Diceros bicornis minor: one gene and its partners. The protein of the gene in region 2 interacts with the protein of the main gene of each other region in a pairwise test. Links are inferred from orthologs where the notes say so. Each region holds a gene or a part of one and is shown on either strand. Other genes may lie near its edges.

Region 1 (7,162 bases), on a different chromosome or scaffold from region 2:
GGTCTCTGCCGGCACCACGCGGTCAGCCCAAGGGGCGGGCTCCACTCGCGCACGCAACTACTCCCTACTCTTCCTTAGTTACCTCCCTCTTTCCTCCTTAAGGGTTGGGGCTGGGGGCTCACAGCTAATGGGCAGGAAAAATGAGAGCACGAACAGGAGAAGCCAATCTCACCCCTCAAGAAAACAAAACCAATGAGAGGGAGCAAAGGGTTATTTTCGCGCCACAAAAGATGGAAATCCAGGGGCGGCTCGGGGGGCCAATGAATGGAAACCAGCAAACGGCTCCGGCGGAGGCAGCCGACGATGATAGGCTTCCTCTGTCCACCAATCGGGTGAGAGAAAAAGCCCCCCCCCGCCCCCTCCCCAGCTAGGGGCGGCGTCTCTCTCCACGCCGGTTGCTCAACTTGGTCTCGGCGAGTCGGCCCCGTGGAGCGCGAAACCCCGCCCCGGGGCTGCGTTTGCGCGCCCTGTGCACCCGCCTCGCTGCCCAGCCCCGCCTCCGGCAAAGGCGCAGGGTTCAGCAAGGCTCCCGGGGGTCTTTCTCCGTGGGTACCGAGCATCCCCCAGCACCAGGGAGCCTCTTGCACGCTCGAAACAGGCCGGAAGTTCGGGAGGGTAGCCAAACACTCGCTGCTTGATCCGCCCCCGCGGCCCGCGGGCGGGCGCGCGCAGGGGAAGGACGACCTCAGGTGGAGTTGTGCTGTGAGGGGAACGATAGAGGCTCCCCGCGGCCCCCACGGCTAATTCGTCCACGCAGCTCCGCGCGGAGGGACAGAACCCGAGGCGGAGCCAGAAGGCGCCTGTCCCGCGGCAGGGCCAGGGCAGTCCAGTGGTCGAGGGCCTCCGAGGCTAGGAAGCGGACGACGAAGGATCTTCCCCAGTGTGAACTGCAAGGATCCCGCCCTCTTTTCTCCCGGCAGAGCCAGGGGAAAAAGGAAACAACCCCATCTTCTCATCTCCTGGAGCACTATTTTTGATTTTAAACAAAAATAACTGAAGGCATGTTCCGAAGAGAGTGCAGAACCAGGTTACCACTTATCACGCATCTGCTTTAAACAGATCAGAGTCCAGAAGAGCTGTTCGAAGGAACGAGAGGATGTTAAAAACACCTCCTATGAGGCCCAGGCGACGCGGCGGGCATTGTGTGCCCACCCGCGTTAAGGACTTAGGCTCTCGGCTGGTCTCAGAGGCAGCTGGGAGTTCGGAGGGGTAGCAACAAGAATGCCCTTTCCCCCTGCTCTACCTGCTCAACCTTCGCTCATAACCTGTGGATACAGCAACGGTAACCGACCTTCTAAACAGTTTTTCCTCTTTAATATTACACTGACCCATAAGAAACATTTTTATTGCCCTCAGGTCAGCAGAGAGGGAGGAGGTGCAGCTCTTCAAAGAGTAAAGAGGCTGCAGTTGGAAGGGCTCAGCCGCATCAGAGCACATACAATGGGTGGGATTCCTTCGTGGCGTTAACATTAATTAGGAGCTGCAACTGCTCCAGGACGAACCTGGAGTAGCCCATGTACATGGTTAATTTCTTATGTGAGACTCATTAAAAGACTGGAAGTTGGTTTGACCTTACATTCATTGTTGAAAATCCACCAAAGATATTTTTGTACTTGAAATGCCAGTAAAAAACAATTTACCCATGCTTTTTTTCACTCAGCCATTGAGTATATACTTATTCCTCAAATACTTGGAAGATTCGAAGTGGAGTAGACTGTATCCACCTCCTTTTTTGATATCTGAGCTTATATAACTCGTGTATGTTTTTAAGGTCCTAGATGGAGTATCCAATGTGTTACAATAATACACAGATTAAGTTCACAAGAGTCCCAGGAACATATTTCATCAAAATAGCACACACTTGTTTTAAATTCCAGCTGTTAGATTTGTTTGATAGTGACAGACAAGCAAGGGCTAGTATTTATGAAAAAAAAAAAACAAAACAATTTATCCCATGCTTTAGAAGTAGATATTTCTTTAGATCTCAGTTTTAATAAGAGCAAATAGTCAACAATCCAGAAAGCACCATTCAATTGACTTTGGAAGCAAGCTGAACGTATAAAATTTGTTCTTTTGAAAAATTACTAAAAGTTAAATGATCAGACTAGTTTATAAAATTTAAAGAGGCATTTAGAAAAGCAAATATTACTAAATGAATGAAAAGCATATTTCTCCAAATACCTTTTGATCACATGCAACAGGTACATGGAAAATAAATTCATAATTTTTGACATTTACATTTTGAATACCACAGAAGTCATAAAGGGAGAATACATATCTTTTCTTTTTTAGAACCAAAGTTCTCTTTTAAAAAAACATGAAAAAGGAAAAATAAGTAAGCTCTTTTAAAAAGTTAAACCTAACCATAAACTTAAAATTTTACCACCAAAATGTTCTTTCAAGATAGAGCTCATAATACAATTCTAAACATTATTACACAAGAACACGTTTGTCCCCTCCGTCTCAAAAATTAAAGACATTTCACTAAATCAAATGTGAATGAAAATATTGTGAAAGTGAGTTTACGTTTAAAAAGTTAGATTTGCTTGGCAGGAAAGAAAAACCTGTAAGAAAGAGCAGTTGCATTTAAAATGGATGATCTGACACCTTCCGGTTCCTTAACACAAAATTCTAAAATAAGTTCCTTTTAAAAGAAAAAATGTGTATACTCTTTACATCATGCAATAATTCCCACATATTTAAAACACTAATCTACTATTCATCTTTTAATTGGAAAATATACACTTTAAAATGCCGTGTGAGGGTTTGACAAAGGGAAAAGAACTATATCAATTGTCATAATTACTGAAGATGTTTCAGTGTAAATCTCCATATTTTTCTATTACACATTTTTCTACTAGAGAGCGTACCAAGACATTAAAGATTCTTGTTTATATTTCCATGCTATATAGAATTTCATTCACTTTTTAAAAATAAGCATTTTATATCTTTTCCATGGAATACCTGTTAAATATGCACCATAAGTATCTGGTGCAAATGAAGCCTTTGAGTGGAGTACACAATCATTAAACGACACTTGGAGATTTCCACAAGAACCCCAGCACGGCGTTCATTTCCGTATTCCTCGTCTCCAGTCCAGTCTGTTGGCCCAGAAGGCTCCACTGGGCCCAGACCCTCCCCCCAACACCCACCATTGTCCTCGTTATATACAGTACAGGGGAAATTATGAATGGTTCTCATGGCCAAATGTGGGCAAAAAAGAGGCAGAAAGAGACTCGAACAATATTTCAAGTGCGAAATACCACCTAGGGGTATCGCAGAGCAGTCTTCCTGTTTTAAGAGTCCCAAGTTCTCCAACTAAAATTCTTTAAATAAAAGTACCAGCCTACCCCACTCCTCCTCCTCTGGAAACTACAGGAAGAAATGGTTTCCGTTTAAATACCGACTTTTCCCACTCTGACTTCTCTTCTCCGGCCTCCGAGGCCCGGGACGCCCCCATACCCACGCCAGAAACCTCCGCCCCTGCGCTCCCCTCCCCCACCGGTGGCCAAGCCCGCCCCCGGCCTCATTTATCCCAGAGCCTTGTCTGAAGCGAGCAACCAATGGCAAACGCGAAGCCGAGAGCCACCGCGAGCGCAGGCGGAGGCGGAGGAGGTGTCGCCCAGACACCCGCCCAGGACGCCGCGGGCTCCCATCCCCCACCGCCCGGCTCGGGGCCGCCCCACTTCCCCGGGGCCCGGGCCCGTGAAGGGTGCACAGGGTAGGGCGCCTCTGCCGCTTCTCCCGCCCCCACCCACCGCACCCCACCCCCTCGCTGCGTTTCCGCCCCTGCAAGCCCTGGAAACGTGCTCGCGGCTTTGCCGAGGTTACACTTCTAATGTCATCAAAGCCACAAGGGGAGTTCGGAATTGTGACTCCTTGGTTTTGTTAATTACCTATTTTAAAAAATCGAATACGTATTTAAAAGTCCGGTAACTAGAGCTGAGAAATTGCCTAGTTAGCACCCCTACCCCTATCTCGTTAAAAAAAAAAAAAATCAATATTCCTCCCCTTTTCCTCCCCTCCCCCTCAGGATCCGCCCCGACCAGATAACCCTTTCTAAACTCTGTTGTGACAATCAGCTCCCGGAGCCGCGCTCCCCTCTGCGCCCCGGCTGCGGCTCCTTTAGCATTTTTTTGCCCTCTTCCTCCTTCCCTTCTCAGGGTCCCTCGCCCAATCTCATTTCCCCTCCCCCTCTTCCTCTTCTCGCTGGCTCTTTTTTCCCTCGAAACCCCCTCTAATTGAGGAGCTGGGATTCCTCACGTGAGACGTTGATTTGTAGTTTGAACACGTGGCTTATTCAAAAAGCCGGACACTCGGAGCGGATTTTTTCCGCCTCCTGCGCCTTCCTCCCTCCACCCCTCCTCCCCTCGCTCCTGCCAGTCACCCTTCGGGGTTTTTTATGGGGAGGCGGCGCCTGCCCTCACGTAGTGTGATATTTTCACCGTCCGCTGGCCTATGCCAACGGGGTTGGGGAGGAAGAGACAAAAAGTAGTTGACCCCCCCCTCCTCTCCTCCTTTTTCTCGATAATCCCGCCTCCTCCTCAGAGTTAGGAAGACTCGTTGATGCGTTTGGGTTGTAGCAAGGCTTTTTCTTTTCTTTTTTTTTTATATCTAGAGAAGGAAAAACAAGAACCCTTGGATCTGATTTTTCGCTCCTCGTTCTTGTCCTGGTTCTGACTGTGTTTGGGTATTTTAGCGGCGAGAAGACGAGGGGAACAAAACCCACCGGATCCATCCATCACTGTGGGTGGTTTTAATTTTTCGTTTCTCTCAATTTTTTTAAACAACCGCTCTTCACAATGAACAAACTGTATATTGGAAACCTCAGCGAGAACGCCGTCCCCTCGGACCTAGAAAGTATCTTCAAGGACGCCAAGATCCCGGTGTCGGGACCCTTCCTGGTGAAGACGGGCTACGCGTTCGTGGACTGTCCGGACGAGAGCTGGGCCCTCAAGGCCATCGAGGCGCTTTCAGGTGGGCCCCGGCCTGGCCCCGCGGGGCGCCTGCCCCAGCCCTGCGCCGCCCGGGCCTGCCGGGGTCGGGGGCCGGGAGCCAGGCCCGCGGCTGCCGCCGGGGCGTCCACACAGGGCCCGAGGCCCGGAGAGGGGGCGAGGCCCGGGCGCGCACCGGCGTGGGTCCGGGCGCTTTCCTCAGCGTGGGCTCGACCCGGCCCCCCGCGGCTCCCCTCCCAGCGCGTTTGCGGGCTAAGGGCCGACGCGCTGTCAGAAAGCGCCGGCGCCGGCTCCTCCGCGCTCGCCCCGCGCCCCGCCTGGGCCCGGGCGAATGCTCCAGGCTCCGGCACGCCGGGCCTTGGGGGCCGGGCGCGAACGCCGGCTTCTCCCTCCTCCTCCCTTCCTCTCTCTGCTCGTTACTGATGCCGTGGGGTTTGCTGCCCGCCGCCCGCCCCAGCCCCTGGCAGTGGGAGAACGTGGAGTGGCCTCGACCCCGCTGCGGAGTGAGGCCGCGGGCCGGTGCCTCGCGCAGGCGGCCCCGCGCTTCCTCTCCACCCGGCTGGAAGCGGCGAGTGCGACCTGGGTTCCTCCTTCTACCTCCCCGCGTCGGACGAGCGAGAGGGGCAGGAGGGCGGGGGCGGCCGGCGGTCGCCGGGGAGGGAGCCCAGCTGCGGTGCCGGGCGGCCCGCCGCTCTCCGCGCCCGGGCCACAGGCTGCGGCCTCCGGGGGTGGCGGGGCGCTCTCGGCGAGGGCGGGGGCCGGTGCGTGGCGGAGCGGCGGGCTGGGGCGGGGAAAGCTGCGCTCGGGGGCCCTCCAGGAGCCCCGTGCCTTTCGGGCGTAGTTTGTGCTCAGATGTCTCGGGGCGCTCGCTCTTCCTGCGCCTACCCTGCGGTCCTCGAGCCTTTCCCGCCACTCTGGTCCCGGCCGCCTTGAACCTGGGAGAAGGGCCCGGGCGTCCCCACCTGAAGAAAGGCACCGTAGCCCCTTCCCTAGGGTCTGTCTTATGGGAAGGCCCGGGGAGGTGGGCAGAGGGGCAGCGTACGTCCTGCGGGTGTTGTGGGGTTGGGCGACCCCCAGAGGTGGGCGGGGGAGGCCGGGGCGGGGGTAGAATGTTACCAAGGAGTGGGTCCGCCCATTGATCCCCCTCCCCACCGATCTGTAAGTTGCACACACACAGCCCTGAGGGTGTCTGCTTCCCACCCGTGAGGTGCCGGGCTTCTCTCTCGGCTTCGAGCCGCGTCCGGATGCTGTTCGGGGTCTCTGGAGGCCACTTGTGTCGCTGCTTAGGCTGTGCGGGTCTTTTGGGCCGGGAGAGCCACTAAACTCGGCCAACAGTCTTCCACCTCTTGTGTATTCGCAGGTAAAGTGGAACTGCACGGGAAACTCATAGAAGTTGAGCACTCGGTCCCAAAAAGGCAGAGGTGAGCTTATTTATTATGTTCTCATTGATTCTGTTCTCACTCTTTTGGGAGAAAAGACCCAACACAGCTGAAAACGACGTCTTTTCCTTTTATGCTTATTGGGTTTCTATATGGCTTGGCGTTTCTCGTCTTTTTCTCTTGCACTTAAGTTTATGGCAGGTGTCTGTGTGTGTGTGTTGGTAATACTGCAAAGAAATGGAAGGCTTGTCTGTGGCCCCTGCCACTGGATTGTTGTTATTGGTATGCAAGTCGCTCAAGGAAGCTCTCATAGCTAAATGTTATCCGGCAGAGTAGGTTAAGTTGCTACAACAGGAAATCAAAGTCTCAGAGGGCAGTTTTTGGGAATCTGTAGGAATTTGGAAGCAATGCGTAACCCCCTTCCACTTCTATAAGTACGGGATAGGCGAAAGCAGCTGCAGACACGCGCGGGGGTGGCGTGTCTTTCCTTCTCTGTCCCGAGTTGGCGGCGACGAGTCTGAGAGGCCTGGGAGGCCATCCGCACATCTGAGAGGAGAGGAATTTGCCTTTACCCTGTTAGCTCGATAGCCGGGATTGGAACACGTGAGTGAACGCCTGGGCTTCTCCTGCCCAGAAGCGCCTTTCAGTCACTCCAGAGTTTGTACAGGTTTCTGGTAATGCGCCTTGGTCTCCCGCTCCCCCCAACCCCACCCCACTGCCCCTGAAAATATTTTTGGTTACAAATAACCACCAAGAGATCGTGAACGCTGATTTGTGCCACTTAAGCCAGGGAATTGTACTTTTCGGAGAGCATGTGTAGTGTGTCAC
Region 2 (7,280 bases):
TAAATTCTCAAAGGACCATCTTTTCAGAAAACAGACTGAAAAGATATTTATTTTTGTGTTGAGACTCTGCCTTCTTTACCGTGGATACCAAGAATACTTTCTTGTCTGAAACCCTTCACACACAGCCAGTCACACCCCAAAGTCCACATACTCTGCAGGCACACTCACTCTCCTTAAATATCTTAACTATTAACTATTTCCCTGGGTGGCTTTAGAAATCAGCATTATTATTTTATAGTCATTTTTCATACACACAGCTCTAAACTAACAGGCATATGAGGCTCAAGAGATGTCCCCAATACTCAGACGTTCCTATACCTCCACAGGTAAGATAACAAAGCCTGCATAATCCTTCATATTCAGATGCAAATTATTAAGAAGGTAATATGAAAGGCCGTGTGACTTGGCGAAGATAGTAAGTAGATGGGGTAAAAAAAAGGCTGAGAGAGAGAATGAAAGACTAATAGGGGAAGGGAGTGAATGATCAGCTAAGTGACCATAAGATACCAATAGAAAATCTTGAGTTAAAAGCCATCAGGCTAAGTCAGAATTCACAGAATCCTAGATGTTTAGAATTGTTCAAGGCAGAATTTTTAAATTCTCCATTGCAAACAAGTACAAAGAACGAGGCCATATGCATCACAGCCATTACCTTTATGCTTGGGTCTAGATTTATGAAAGAGAGGTGGCTTAAGGACTCACTGAACTGAATTCATCTATCTTAAGCACACTGAAGTGTTTTTAAACAAAAGGTGATGACTCTGACTAAGATGAGAATTATTATGGTTCTCAGAGCTGCAACTTCACCTTGAACTGCTGGGTAACATTTTCCTTTTGGTCCCCTGGTAAGCATCTTCCATCTGCTTCTCCAGTTCTCTTATTTTCCACATATCTGATTCCTCCTGAATCTAGATTTTTTTAAAAGGAAAGAAATAAAAATAATTTAACAAAAATAACACAGAAAAGTAATTGAAAATATGGTCTGCACTAATTATTGGATTACAGACTGGGTTACAATCAGGAACGTGGGAAGCAAATTCTGGTTTCTCTAGAGTGGTTAAACAATCTGACGCAGTAAATCTCAAATATGTAGAATTCTGCAGCAACAGAACTTTTTAACCCCTGCATAGACACACTTACTACCTTATAAATTTTGCAGTTATGCTGCAATTAGCAAATGATAATCCTTATGTTTCTAAAATGCTTTGTGATTTTAATTGTATCACCTCAAGTGAACCTTAAGCAATCTTATGAGGAAAACAAAGCAGGTACCATTATTACATCTTATTGAGAAGAAACAAAAGCTCAGAGATTTTATCAAAGTCAAAAAGCTAGTAAGGACAGGTCTTTAAACTTTCTAGGCTAAGTCTCTTCTCACAACATTATAATTTTTGTTAAAAACAAAATAGAACAAATGAGAACTGCTAGAGAATTTCCTGAAAAGCAAATTACAATTGCCCAAAAACAAGAATACATTTTATTTCTAAGTCTTTCTGTAATGTTTTGTTAAATCTGTGGTAGATTTATCTCTTTTAGCCCCCACTTTCAAATCTACGCTCATTATCCAACCAGGGGTGGTTTAACATGATGACAGAGGCTGCTTAGGTAACAGTTATACCCTCACTCACAATCAAAATATCAGGAGATATGATAGTAATAACACTTATGATCAAACTAGGAGTTGTACAGTTCACCAAAGAAAACCAAACAAGGATTCTGGGCCCTCTTTTCATCATATGTGCTCTCCTAGGTGACTTCATCTATTCTCATGACCTCTATCAATTCCTGTATATCAATAATCCCCAAACCTTTACATCCAGCCTCAACTTTTCTCCTTTCCTCCAAGTCTGAATTTCCAACTCTTTGGACATCCTATAAGCACCTCACCATCAACATATTCAAAAGCAAACTAATTACCTTTCCCATCATACTTGTCCCTTTTCTTTTGTTCCCTATCTCAATTAATAGCATCATCATTCACCCAGTCAATATATATAACACAAGGTGTTTATATTTGATTCTATAATTATCATTATCATCCAATAAGTCACCAAGTTCTTTGGAGTCTATCTCCTAAATTCCTCATCTTCATCCCTAGTATCACTGCTTTCATGTGAACCCCTCATTATCTCTCACCTGGAACATTGTAATTACCTCCTAATTGATCTCTCTACTGTTTCACCCTTCTGATCTAACCCCTACCCAGCTAACAAATCATCTTTCTAAAATACAAATGCAATTATGTCACATCCTGCTTAAAATCATTTGATGGTTTCTTTATTGCCTAGAGGAGAAAGTCTAATCTCCAAGCATCATAATCCAACTGTAATTTAGCACTCGGGCCTCATCTTCTGTCACTATCCCCCACATTCCCTATTTTCTGGATGCACACAATTTCTTGCCATGCCCCAAGTGCTTCATGCTCTTTCTTGTTGCCATCTTAGTACATGGTGTTCTGTCTGGAATGATCTTTTACACCTGGTAAACTTGAACCTGTTCATCAAGAACTAGTCCAAATAGCAGCAGCTCAAATACCACCCATTCTGTGAAGCCTTTCCTAATTCCCCAAGGCAGATTTCATTATTCCTTCCTCAGTGCACTAAAGCACTTTGTATACGTCTCTAAGTACTTATCAAATAGTATTATAATTATCTATTTTATTCATCTTTTGTATCTCCCAACTGTACCAAAATAATGCTTGGCACACTGCATGCCCTCATTAAATGCTGAGGAATAACTAGGTTCTACCTCTCACCTTATTGTGAGCATCTGTGTGCCGGATGACATTCCTCAGGAGGACTTTCCCCAATGGAACCCGGGACATTCTTCAATCTGAAATGAATCAATAAATAACATTTAATAATAAAAATTCCCTTTAACACCTTGTCTTTTATTACAATGCTATAAAGAAGCATAAGGTAAAGGAAAGATCACTGAACTCGAAGTCAGAGATCCTGAGGAACAGTTTTTCCTTCACCATTACAAGGGGAAAAAGCCTGACCACACTAATGTGAGGATGAAAGGAGATAATGTACACTGGAGTTCTTTGAAATTGCACAAAATTAAGTGCTTTCAAAAGCAAGTATCATTTTATTTAATCCTCAAAATAACTCTATATTTTATATGAAGCAAGTATCTTCATTCCTACTTTATGGATGAAATTTCCTTCAAGCCATAACTTGCTCCAGGCCACACAGCCCAAAGCAAACAAGGTCCTGATTAGAAATCAACTCTCGCATCCCAAAATTAGTTTGCGATGAAGCAAATACCTAGATTTGAGAGTGTCAGGGACCACAAATGTCAACAGTAACAAAAACCGACGCCGAAAAACATCGAATGCAGAGATGCCCTCAATTTCTCCACCTAGGGGAATTTTATTTTCTATTTTGACAGGGATATTCACGTGTGCACTAGCAGGGGCTTTGTGCAACCATCCCCCCGCTCACTCACCCCTCGATCCTGAGGAAATCAGGCATCTTGTTAGTGTGAGACGAAGAACCACTCCATTACAAGATCTCCTCCGACCCAGGAAGCCAAGGAGTCAGGGCTCAAAGGCAGCTCTGCAGCTTCACCCGAGTCCTTCGTGAAAACGCAGCCTTCCCACCGGTTATTCTGCCCTCACCCGCGGCCCAGGCCGCGGCGGCCTTTCCCCCAGCCCAGGCCGACAGCAGGTACCTCTCCGGACTGAGGCCTGAGGCTGCGCCGGCGAGGGATCCGGACGGTCGGGGCGGCTGGGGCATGCCCCGCTCACGCTCCTCTGGGACGGACCCAGGGGGTGGGTTTCGCTCCCCAGAAAGGATGGGGACGCTTTGGAAGGGTATGACCGTCCACTGGGTCCCAAGAAGTATCTAAAGTGCCTGAAGGGGGAGTTGAGTCTTCCAACTGGAAGACAGAGAAAATACCCCCATTTTTGTCACCGGGATCCCTGCTCCCCTGGGGCCACAGAGCTCCCGGTAACCTTCCCTCCACACGCCCTCCCCACACAAATGCACACAAACACACCCATACCGTGCGCCGCAGCCTCGCGTGGCGGGGGTGGGGGGAGGAAGCGGTCTGGGAGGAAAGGAAGCAGGCTTCCCTTTCAGGCCGGAAGTCGTGCTCCTGAGAAATTCTTCCCACCAACAGGAGACCCAAAAAGACTCCCACAGGGAGGGTCTCCAGGACGCGCTAGAGGTCGACAGGTGCAGAAGGGAGACGGGCGCCTTCCTGAAAAAGAAGTGGGTCGGGCTCAGCTGAAAAGCAAGCTCAGCATCAGAAGAGGGAGATCCCTCCGGAACTGGATGTAAAAAGACCTTTCTGTCTGCAGCTTCCCGGACCCAATTAGAGGCTGTACCCAGCCTGGTTACCCTGGTAACAGGTGTAGCGGTTTGTCAAGGAACTGAGAGAAGAGGTGAGTCGGGCGACCTCCGGAATGGTTGTCGGTTAGTTAAGTTTCCCATTTAGTCTAATCCTAATATAGTGTTCGAAGAGCCCAGACCTCCTCTTCTTCTCGTTCTGTGGATGCTGTGGGACATCTCTCCAGTGAGGGAGGAGGGTGCGAGGGAGGTTATCTCCAGTCAGAGAGGATATTATTACACGCATATAGTGTTAACCAGGTGTTCAGCCTCTCTATATTAGCTTACTTAATCCTCACAATAACCCTATGAGATAGGTATTATCGTCTTCATTTGGGGGACAACAAACTGAGGCACATATATAAATTATTTCTCAAGGTCACACACCTAGTAAGTGTGGAGCTACGATTGGAATCTAGGCGTTCTGGCTCTCGAGTCCATACTTTTAAATACTAAGCTGTGCTGAGGATTGAGGAAGTCGCATGTGGCCCTCACTCCACACACACCCCTGGCAATTTCAGGACTGGATAGGTACCAGTCAGCCAATGCCCAGGTACTGGAATGAGAAAATCACCAGGAAGTCCAGACTTAAAATGACTACTCTGTCCCCTCAGGGCTTGTGAGGGTCTAGGCAGAGGTAAGGCCTTATTTGAGAGGACAACTTGAGAATTTAGGAAGGGTTACTAGATAATTAGAGAATAAGGAAAAGATAAAGTGGTGCTGAGCCCAGTTTTTTCAGACACAGGTGTTAAGGATAGCTGCTAACTTCACCCAAACAATTCCTGACATATTCCTCCTCCCCTAAAAGAAGAAATGAATCAATAGTTACAAAGACTTTTTTTCCCTTAAGTCAAGTCTTTCCACAGACGTAAGAGGCCTATTCACTGGAATCATGGAGTCATCCTCAAAGGGTCTGCTCAGCCAAGTTACTCAATTCTGGAACCTCCTAGATGATCTGGCTGAAAGTAATCCTGAGAGCTATGAGAAGTTCATTCAACAGCAATTGAAAGAGGGGAAACAACTCTGGGCTGCCCCAGAACCGCAGCTCTGTCTACAAACCAGGATCCTGGTATGTAGAGTTGGTGCCCAGGGATGGGGAATGAATGAAATGATCCTGAAATAACTGGAGAATAGCTTACCCTTAGCTATTGCTACTTTAACACAAGAAAACTTGACGGAAACTGCCACTCTAAGTGGAAACAGTAGTGTGGAAGATTGTTTTGAAGGAGTAAGAAAAGGAAATTCATGTTTGATATATTTTGGAGATCTCAAAATGAGCTATTTTTCTGCTAGAATGAAAACAAAGAGTAATGTGATGATTTAATAGAGAATCATAGAGTTGGAGATTTTTCAAATAAAGAGAATTTATTTAGTGGAGGAAGAAAGGAAGTGGTGAAACAGGGTCAAACGAATTCACCTGGAACAGCTGCTTAGATCAAGTTCCCCTTCCTCCTCCCAGTTCCTCTGGGAGCAGCCACTGGATTCTTGATAAAAAGCCAGCAGCTTTGGGGAAATCAGGTAACAGTATAATTTCTCAAACACAGTTTTAATACATGGAATGACTTACTTGGAGCCTAAAATTCTCACTCTTAAAATTCTGTGACCTTTAAGATATTTAAAAACAAAAACCTAGGTTTTGAGATATGCAAAATTATTTGCTTTCTAGAAACCAAAAGAAAAAATACTTTTTATCAACCTATGTCAGTGGAAAAGGATCCCAGCTCCCCAGTCAACCACTCATCCAGTACCTCTAAGTATTGGAAGACCAGAAGATATATCTGAGACATCAGGTACACAGAATTATGGGAGAGAAAACACATTTAAAAATTTTTATTGGGAATAAGAATGGACCAGATTTTACTTGGTAAAAGGCATTACAAGTAAAATATTTTATTTGGTTATAAAGTAGTTAATGACTAAGTGTACCTTTATGCAAATTGAATACTGTTTAATTTTTCTATTAATATGAGCTGTTTTTAACCCATATAAAATGCCACAAAATGCCCTAATTGGAATTTTGTGTATATAGCACCGTTAGGATTGCCTCTGAAAAATACAAGAATAAAATTTATGCTCTCTAGCTTCATCAGGATTATGGCTTAATATATTACCTGACAATATCCTTAGTGAAACAAGTTGTCTTCATCTCACACCCTCTGAACTACACACACAGATCTTTACACAGTCATCGATGTTGCCTACAATCCTGATGTTCTCCAGGCAGCAGAAAAGGACCAAGTGAAGAAAGATCAATTAATATGGATGGCCATGAAATGCATTGAGGAGCAACTCCAATTCACTCTCTCACACTCTTACCATATTACCAAATTTAGAATAAAAGGAAGCATTGAAAGGATGAAACAAAATCTGATGGGAATCCAAACTGACCCCACAGATTTAAGAGAGAAAATGAGAAAGGGTAAGTTAATGAATGTAAACTGAAAATTAAACTGATTTAAATTTTTCTGCATCCTGTGTATATTTTGCAAACTAGAACTCTCGATTTTAAAAGAAACTTAAGATAGAAAAATATAAAGATTAGATATTAGCATGTCCTTAAAGATTTTTAAATCCTGTATACTTTTAAACCAGATTCTTTGGTTTAAGATTCTTTTGATTTAAGATTCCCAAACTAATTTAGCTGCAGTTTTATCTGCCATCTTGGCTAACACTATTATAGGTCATAGCCTGTTAGTATTTTCTGTTGTTGATTAATTGTGTGATTTCATTTCCCCCCTTTTTTCATCAAGAACTAACCCTTGAACAGATAAGAAGTAGTACTGTGAGCAATCCAGATCACTCTCCTCAACTTTTACTGCCAAAAGACCAAGTTTCGGGCAAAACAGGGTGTCTGATAGAAGAGATTTCTAGTGCAGAGATCCAGGTGGAGATGAAGACACCAGACTATGAATTAAAAATTGTGGTGGATCAAAATGAAAAACCTCT
Region 3 (7,943 bases), on a different chromosome or scaffold from region 2:
TAACAGCTATATTGTAGTCTGAATCCTGCTTTAACGAAAATACAAACAGCATTATTAACATTACTAAGTTAGAACACCTCTTACCAGAGCAGAAACTGTGAAGTCCCTGGCATGCATTTTCTCAGTGAGCCAGTCCACCTTGCGCCTTGTATTGAGAAAAATAACAGCCTGCGTAATCGTCAGTGTCTCATACAAGTCACAAAGTGTATCCAACTTCCATTCCTACAAGATTTCATATAGAAATTCAGCAGTCACTAAAATAATTTAGTTTCCAACTTACATTCATTAGAAATTCATCTATTAAGTTAATCTAAGGACATATTGCACCAAATCTTAAGACAAAGGACACTGGACATTAAGAAAGAGGTCCACCCCAGTCTTTACAATCCAGTGCAGTTACTTTTCTTCTTGTGTATACTCTGCTAGCATTATTACAAAAACCAAGATGTGATCCTAGTTTCTGCAATTTTAGCACAGTGCTTATACAAGAAGGATAAAAAAAAAATCTGGCTAACATTTTTATGTTAATTAAATTACCTCTCTTTCAACATTAATATAAAATTGTTTGATTCCTTCAAGGGTCAATTCTTCCTTTTTCACCAGAATTCTAATTGGATCTCTCATGAACTTTTTGGTCACTTCCAACACATCAGTTGGCATTGTGGCAGAAAGCAACACAACCTAAAAAAGACAATGATTATCTGTCAAACAAGTAATTATCATAATATTCAATTTCACAATACTCAAAAAATGTTTGAGACCAAGCGTCTGTCTTACTATGGAATTGTGCTAGACAGAGACAGTTATGCATCAATTGCTTTAAGCAGGGGGAACGACAATAAAACACTTCAGTTGTATTGTAACAGTACCTGCATTAATTACACCTGACCTCCGCTATAGGAGGGAGTGAAATAAAGCTCACCTGAATACTTGTATTTAATTTTTGGAAAATCTCATAAATTTGATCCTTAAACCCTCGGCTCAACATTTCATCAGCTTCATCCAAAACAAACATTTTGATCCATTTTGGAGCTGTTAAAAACAAAGTCATACTATCATCTCTCGATTCTCAGGAATAACATTGGAAATTTTTAATTTTAGCAATAGTAAAAACAAACTACACTCTCAACAGACAGCAATACTTACAAAGGTATCTTCTGTTTAACATATCAAACACTCTCCCTGGTGTACCAACAACGATATGTGGTGCTTCAGCCTGCAGTTTTTGCATTTCATTTCGAACATTGGTTCCACCAATGCAGGCATGACAAGTTGCTCCCATATAGTCTCCAAGTGCCAGAATTACCTTTTGGATCTAAAAAGCCAAAAGCCTTAATTATCATCCAACAGAATTACAAGCTCTGTGACTAATCTTCCAAAGCATAATGGCAAATATCTAGTCTGCAAACAGCTTTTATGCATGCACAGCACTCAACTACTTCCAAGCTTAAAATGCAGACTGATCCAACTGCCTCAAGATAAAATTCCCTTTACATGTCTTTTCTTGTGCCTTGTCAAACTTGGGATCCTGCTGCCCCAGATACCACCGAGGTTAAAGAACGAAAAACATTTCCTACATTTTCTCTTCATTGTGTAGGAAGATGCAAATAGCAAACAAGCTCTGCAATTACAGCTAGGACAAGCTGTTGATACTTTCAATTTTTCCCACAAGGTACTGTGACTTACATAACCTTGATCTTAAAGGAAAAAAGCGCCTAATTTTATTAGCAAGGTTTACTTCAAAGCCAATATAGCAGTGAGCTTTGAAAACACAGCATGCAACAGATGCATCACAAACTACTGAGACAGTCAAATGATAACATGTCACTGCAGTTTTCATGTTGCACAACTGCATTCAAACTCAAAAATGGGAACAGATCTAGTCCACCCTGGATAGCAAGCTTCCATTTCTCAACATTACACAACGCTGAAAAACATACCTGCACACCCAGTTCCTGCTGAACTTTCAATAAAAACTCCCTGCATGCATGGGTAGTTAAAAGGAGGACTCTGACAGGACCAATTTATACTAAGTTGTAAATTCTTCACAGTTGTGAAACCTGAAACCTATGCAACACGCAAGCAGTTTTTTTGAACTACACTATCAATACCTGTTGAGCCAGTTCTCTGGTGGGGGCCAATACTAGTGCTTGGGTCTCCTTGAACTCAATCTCCAACTGTTGCAGGATGGAAATAGCAAATGTGGCTGTCTTGCCAGTACCTGACTGAGCTTGAGCAATCACATCATACCCTAAAAAAAGTAGGATACATATTTACCGATCCCACATCAAACCGTCACTTCTAGTTCACACCATGTATTCCATTTGGAACATGAATTATGCCCAAATAATCAAGTGATCAGCAATGAGTATTCTCTTCATTTCAGGTCAGTCCCGAAAGATGATTGCCATCATTTCACTTAAAGGAATACAAACAGGTGCTAGTCCCCCAGAAGTTATCTCCCCTTTTATGGTCCAGGTCTATGTAGGACACTGAATTCATTTTTTAAAAAGTACCGAGTTCTTTTACCTTTAATACAAGGAATAATAGCTCGCTGCTGAATAGCTGAGGGCTTCTCAAAACCATAAGCATAGATGCCCCGAAGAAGAGACTCCTTTAAATTCATATCATCAAAGTTATCAACAATCTCATTCCAGTTGCTCTGCAAATTTAGAAGAAAAAAAAATTAATGAATGAGACGAACCAACTCACCTTTACAGAATTTCAAAATCCACCCACATCTCTTACCTCGATGACACCATCGGGGTCCATTCCCTCTGGGCCGCCATGTTCTCTGCTGACAAGAATAGTTCCGTTAGAGCACATCCCTGTCCCAAGCCAACTTAAACGGCACATCAGGGGGACAGCGCTTTCAGCACCTGTCACATCAAGTTAGCCTCCCCCGCACGTGTGCACTTCCTGAAAGAGCAAAGGAAGCTGGCGGTGCAGGGCACGTAACGTACCGGGCCTGCCCAGAGATTGAGCACCAGGGACGGCCAGAAAGGCCCCACGGACACCGGCCCTTCCCCCCAGGCCCGAGCGCCCGGCGCTCCCGTCTCGGCGGCGGCCCGTCTCGCGAGAGCTCCACGAGCTGAGCTCCGCCCCCTACACTGCGCAAGTCGGGTGATTGACGCGGGCCGAGGCCTGGCGAGGGCTATGCCAACGGTCCGCCAGGGCTCCGTCGCGGCGCGGCCCCATCCGCCTTCTGCAGTGGCGAGTAGGCGCCGCTGTCACCTTCCCCCGCCCCGCCTCAAGTCTAGGACCTCAACTCGCGCTGCTGGCCGCCCTTAAACCCTCGGCCCCGGTTACACTGCACCGAATGCGGGCTGCGCCACGCCTTTAACTAAACGTCGTGCTCCGCACGGGCAGGGAAACTGCAGAGACTTCAAAGCATCTTCAGGAGGAAAAATGATACCTTTAACCACTCCGTTTCCGTAGACTCGTTTCGTCTCCCCGCAATCCAGGCCCCTACCCACCGTGGAAGCTTCTCGAAGGACACAGGGGTATTGTACCCCAAGAAAACGCCTATGAACCCAAAGTTCCCTGCCTCCAAGCCATCTACTACAGTCTCCTCTGCAGCCGTATGACCCTCACCACAAAACACTACCGAAAAATAGCCATACCTGTTATAATCCGCGGAGCCACCAGACATGATCCGGAGAACCACTCAGCGCCCGACTGAAAAGACAGCAGGACCTCGCCGCCCGTTTTTTATAGGCTCGCGGCCGGAACCCGTTTTCTGCGGAGGAATTGACTCGTCGCCCTTCGGTCAGCCACAAAATTGTGACCCTGAGGTCCTTACCTCAGAAAATACCCCAAGCCTGTCGGTGGGAAAATCCAAATTTGGTTATTTCGCAATATTACAGGGTCGCTGGAAATCCCAGGACCCTGCGGGAAGTTTGGGACTCTTTGCATTGCGGCGGAAGAATATTGCAGCGGGCTGAAGCCCAGCCCCCGTTCCCCGCCCGCCGTGCTCCTACGGGGTTTCCGCGTCCCCGACGCAGAGGCGGCGCGGGGAGCCGAGCGGGACCGGGAGGCGGAAGGAAGCTTGAGGCGCGCTGGACGGCCGGACTTCCCAGCGGGCAAGTGGGACCGGTCTCGCTGTTCGCACCGGCGCTGGATGCCGCAGAGGCAGGCACGTCCGCATTCTGCACGGAGGGGAATCGCGTTATTCCGCTTGTTCCCGCCGCTGGTTAACGTGATGATAAAGAGCCGCCTGGCCTTTAGCCCGCGGGCTTAACATGCATTAAGGTCTTGAAAGTGTGCAACTCCTGCTCGGGGAAATGCCGGCCACCCAGCACGTCCCAGAAAATCTGGTTTACCAGACATTGTGCAGGGCGAGAAAAAATGTGTAGTGTCGTGTGGAAAGATCTCTGGAGTGGCCAACTCTATTCTCCTCATGTTGCCTCTGGTCTTGCTTTTTTAAAAAATGCTAATAATTTTAACAGGTGTAAGGAATGCCTGATAAAATCATTGTAAACTTTTGCAAATGGATAATACTAAGGAGGAGTAATTTTCCTTGTAACACAAGGTTTTAAATGGATGCTTCTGGCAGATACAGCTCCTTGCCGCTTTGGGACCCATCTAGTCTATATTACTCTTTTTTTCTGGTCTATATTACTTATTTTTTTTCAAAGCACTTTGAGTTTTAATTGCCTATATATAATGAATGCTGATTTATCGAAATTGAGAATACAACCCTTGCTGCTTAAATAAACTGCATGATTCTTTAAGCCCCAGATGTTTTCAACTGTAGCCCTAACCCAGGCCCATTGATAAAAACAAAACAATATTTTTAGTCATTAAACTTTAAAATACAATACTACCCACGCTGCAAGATATCATCACAAATACTCAGAAAAACATCTTATTAATTCAGAAGACCAACCTAAAGTCTGATAACTGGAAAAACTAACTTAATTTTCTATATTTGTATATTATATTTGATATGATATTTGGTTCTAAATACCACATATATTTTTTTCAAAATACCATTTATTTATTTGAAAATTATTATCGTGCCAGGAACTGTCACAAAAACTAATACCAAGAGATAGAGTGGACTTGGCTGTCAGTGATGCTGCTCCTTATCCCCCTGTAATGTTCAAATCCATATTTGAGGTAATACCAGACATTTCGGAGAATGGCAGTTAGGGATCTTGATTGTCTCGTCCAAAACCTACTAAAACTCTCCTGGGAATCTGAGAAACTGGAGAAAATATTAAATCAGAAAAGTGACCAACCATTTAGTCTCACTTGAGTCCTTAGGGTGAAATCAATCAACAATTAACACCTAATTGTTGAGTGTTTTCTTTAGGTTTAGCACTACTGCTACATGCTGTGAGGATTTCCAGAGTTTCTTAAGAGGAAATAATCAAGGGCTAAACTCTGGTTTATGTCACAATTGCTGAAGGGGTTTCAAGGTAAGAAAGCTTCATAGCCTAAAATCCAGTCAAAATCCAGACCCACATTGCCTGCAACTCTACAATGTATTTCTAATAAACGCTGTGCTTACCATGTTGCATACACTTACTAAATACCATTAATAAGTAATAAATGAGTTAAAGATCCAAAACATTCATATTAACAAAGTTTTGCATATCGACAGACACAGAGCATACACTTATGGTTAATATAAACTTTTCTACTTACCTGACATCTAAAATTAGATAGCCTTCTCAAAGTCAAGTATAAGTGCTTCTTTGCCAACCTGGAGCAAGTGAGGCCTAAAATTTATACTGCAAATGATGCTAAAAATCAGATTCTTTCCTTATGTGAGCCACCTAGTCTAGTTTTTTTTTTTCTTTAAATGAGGAAGATTAGCCCTGAGCTGACATCTGTTACCAATCCTCCTCTTTTTCCTGAGGAAGATTGGCCCTGAGGTAACATCCGTACCCATCTTCCTCTACCTTATGTGCGGGACGCCTGCCACAGCATGGCTTGATGAGTGGTCCATAGGTCTGTGCCCGGGGTCTGAACCCACAAACCCTAGGCCTCCAAAGTGGCGTATGTGAACTCAACTACTACACCACCGGGCCAGCCCCACATATTTAGTTTTGATCTTCAATAGCCTCAGCTGACAATTCTAAACCCATCTAGCAACTGTAAGCCAAGGTTCGCCAGAAGAATCAAGGAATTAGTACAAATTTGTTAGTATGACATGGAAAAACAATAACAAAACCTTGAGTATGCTTTATGCTGCTAGTGACATCTTCCTATGGAAAGTACCATGTATTCTCATTCAGGGGGTATTGTGTGCCATCTTGAGGTTCTTACATTATTTTAAGTCCATGAGTTGATATTAAGTGATAGCTACCCATTTAAAGCAGTATCTTGATAAGCTATTGATATGCAAAAGTTTGTGAAGGTATGTGTTTTGGATCTTTAACTCATTTATTACTTATTAATGTCATTTAGTCAATAATGTCAATAATAATAAATTATTAGTAGTAATACCATAGTAAAAACACAGTATAATATATGCTGTCCCTTCATTTATAATTTAAATGTTTAAAAAGAATTACTTTGAGCTGGATAGAGACTGTAGTGCTACTCACTTCTTTATTATTCGGTTGCTAGAGGAAATTAGAGGCTAGATTCTGCTTGAATATAAGCAGTGTTCTCCAAAGCAATTAGGAAAGTGGCACTCACAGCCACATTTTTCACAATGACTTTTAAAACCATTTGTATGAAGATAAGTAAAGACGTTAATAGCGTTGAAGTAAATGGAGAAAATTGAGGAGGACTGTGGAAGGGACTGTTGAACTATATAAGGACTGGGTTTAAATCCATTAATCCAAGGTTATTAAACTCTATTGTGGAACCAAGATATGGAAGTTTTTCTAGCTCCACCCTTGTGAAGAGTAAAGTAAGTGTACATTATTGTACTTCAAATCAGTACATCTAAAACTGTGGTATGCATAAAAATCAATGGGGAGATCTATTTGAAATGCAGATACATGTGAACTCAGCCCTCCCATTCAGATTCAGTAGATCTCATCTGAGGTGGGGCCAGCTTTTATTTTGCAGAATTCTAGACCTGAAAAGAAGTTCCAAGAATAAAGTAATGAATACCAAATGTTTGTCACGCTTACCAATTGTTAACAGTTTACTGCATTTGCTCTCTCTCATATTTATCTGTGACTTTTTCTGAACTTTCTGAAAGTTACGGACATAGTAGTGACCACTCCTAATCAGCACTACATCCTAAAAACAAAGATGTTCTCCTTTACTAAAACCACAAAAATATTATACCCTGCAAATGTACTATCGATACAATAATATCTACAAAACTATGTTCAACGTTTCTCAGGTGACCCAATAATGTTTTTATAGCCTTTTAAAAAAAGAATCTAGGATCCAATCAAGGATCGCACATCATATTTAGTGGTCCTGTCTCTTTAGTTTCTTTTAATCTGGAACAGTACCCCTGAAGCCGGGTACCTGAGGGTTACTGTAAATATTGAATAAGATTACCTTGTTATGAAAAGAAGTTAATCTTGTCAATTTCCTGTTTTCCTGTTTAACCTGAGGGGTAACTCAAGGGTCACAAGGATTTATGAGCTTGTTTTACAGAATAAAGAGAATGCCTTCAAGGACCACCTGAGAACCAGCCCCAGCTGCCATTGATGCCCAGAAGTCACATTGCCCTGGGGTTTATCAGGAGTGAAAGAAACACGGATTATTCCCTTTGCTTCTCTAAAACTCCTCCTGCCACACCCCTTACCTCCATAAAACCCCCTGCTTGCTTCTCTTGTTAAGGCAGATTTGAGAGAACCTATACTCCTACCTTCTCATTTTTGTCAATTTGAATGAACACTTCTCCATCTCCAAGCACCAATGTCTCAGTGATTGGCTTACTGGGCATCGGGCACATGAACATGAGATTAAGAGGTTCAGGATCACCTCCCCTTTGGAAAAGACTTTTTCTCATCAGAAATTCT

Evidence for each region. The genes of interacting proteins can lie anywhere in the genome.
Region 1: the proteins of PIH1D2 (region 2) and IGF2BP3 interact in a two-hybrid assay, tested with the Homo sapiens proteins (2 studies listed by BioGRID and IntAct). The two-hybrid records come from large-scale screens. The link is inferred for Diceros bicornis minor from reciprocal best matches to the Homo sapiens genes PIH1D2 and IGF2BP3.
Region 3: the proteins of PIH1D2 (region 2) and EIF4A2 interact in binary tests that used the Homo sapiens proteins (3 or more experiments, as listed by UniProt). The two-hybrid records come from large-scale screens. The link is inferred for Diceros bicornis minor from reciprocal best matches to the Homo sapiens genes PIH1D2 and EIF4A2.

What each region holds. Positions count from the first base shown.
Region 1 is NC_080742.1:48,762,387-48,769,548, reverse strand, and holds the start of IGF2BP3 (insulin-like growth factor 2 mRNA-binding protein 3), read left to right. Parts: upstream 1-4,144; 5' UTR 4,145-4,802; coding exon 4,803-4,977; intron 4,978-6,315; coding exon 6,316-6,376; intron 6,377-6,384; exon of another isoform or gene 6,385-7,162. UniProt on the Homo sapiens protein: RNA-binding factor that may recruit target transcripts to cytoplasmic protein-RNA complexes (mRNPs). This transcript 'caging' into mRNPs allows mRNA transport and transient storage.
Region 2 is NC_080746.1:24,219,101-24,226,380, forward strand, and holds the start of PIH1D2 (PIH1 domain-containing protein 2), read left to right. Parts: upstream 1-4,274; 5' UTR 4,275-4,390; intron 4,391-5,184; exon of another isoform or gene 5,185-5,200; 5' UTR 5,201-5,226; coding exon 5,227-5,403; intron 5,404-6,000; coding exon 6,001-6,124; intron 6,125-6,507; coding exon 6,508-6,753; intron 6,754-7,084; coding exon 7,085-7,280. Other genes in the region: uncharacterized protein NKAPD1, read right to left, coding at 808-908, 2,756-2,824.
Region 3 is NC_080754.1:37,266,122-37,274,064, forward strand, and holds the start of EIF4A2 (eukaryotic initiation factor 4A-II), read right to left. Parts: upstream 3,019-7,943; 5' UTR 2,857-3,018; coding exon 2,749-2,856; intron 2,663-2,748; coding exon 2,530-2,662; intron 2,422-2,529; exon of another isoform or gene 2,353-2,421; intron 2,252-2,352; coding exon 2,112-2,251; intron 1,316-2,111; coding exon 1,147-1,315; intron 1,033-1,146; coding exon 923-1,032; intron 876-922; exon of another isoform or gene 751-875; intron 682-750; coding exon 538-681; intron 495-537; exon of another isoform or gene 317-494; intron 223-316; coding exon 85-222; intron 32-84; exon of another isoform or gene 1-31. UniProt on the Homo sapiens protein: ATP-dependent RNA helicase which is a subunit of the eIF4F complex involved in cap recognition and is required for mRNA binding to ribosome.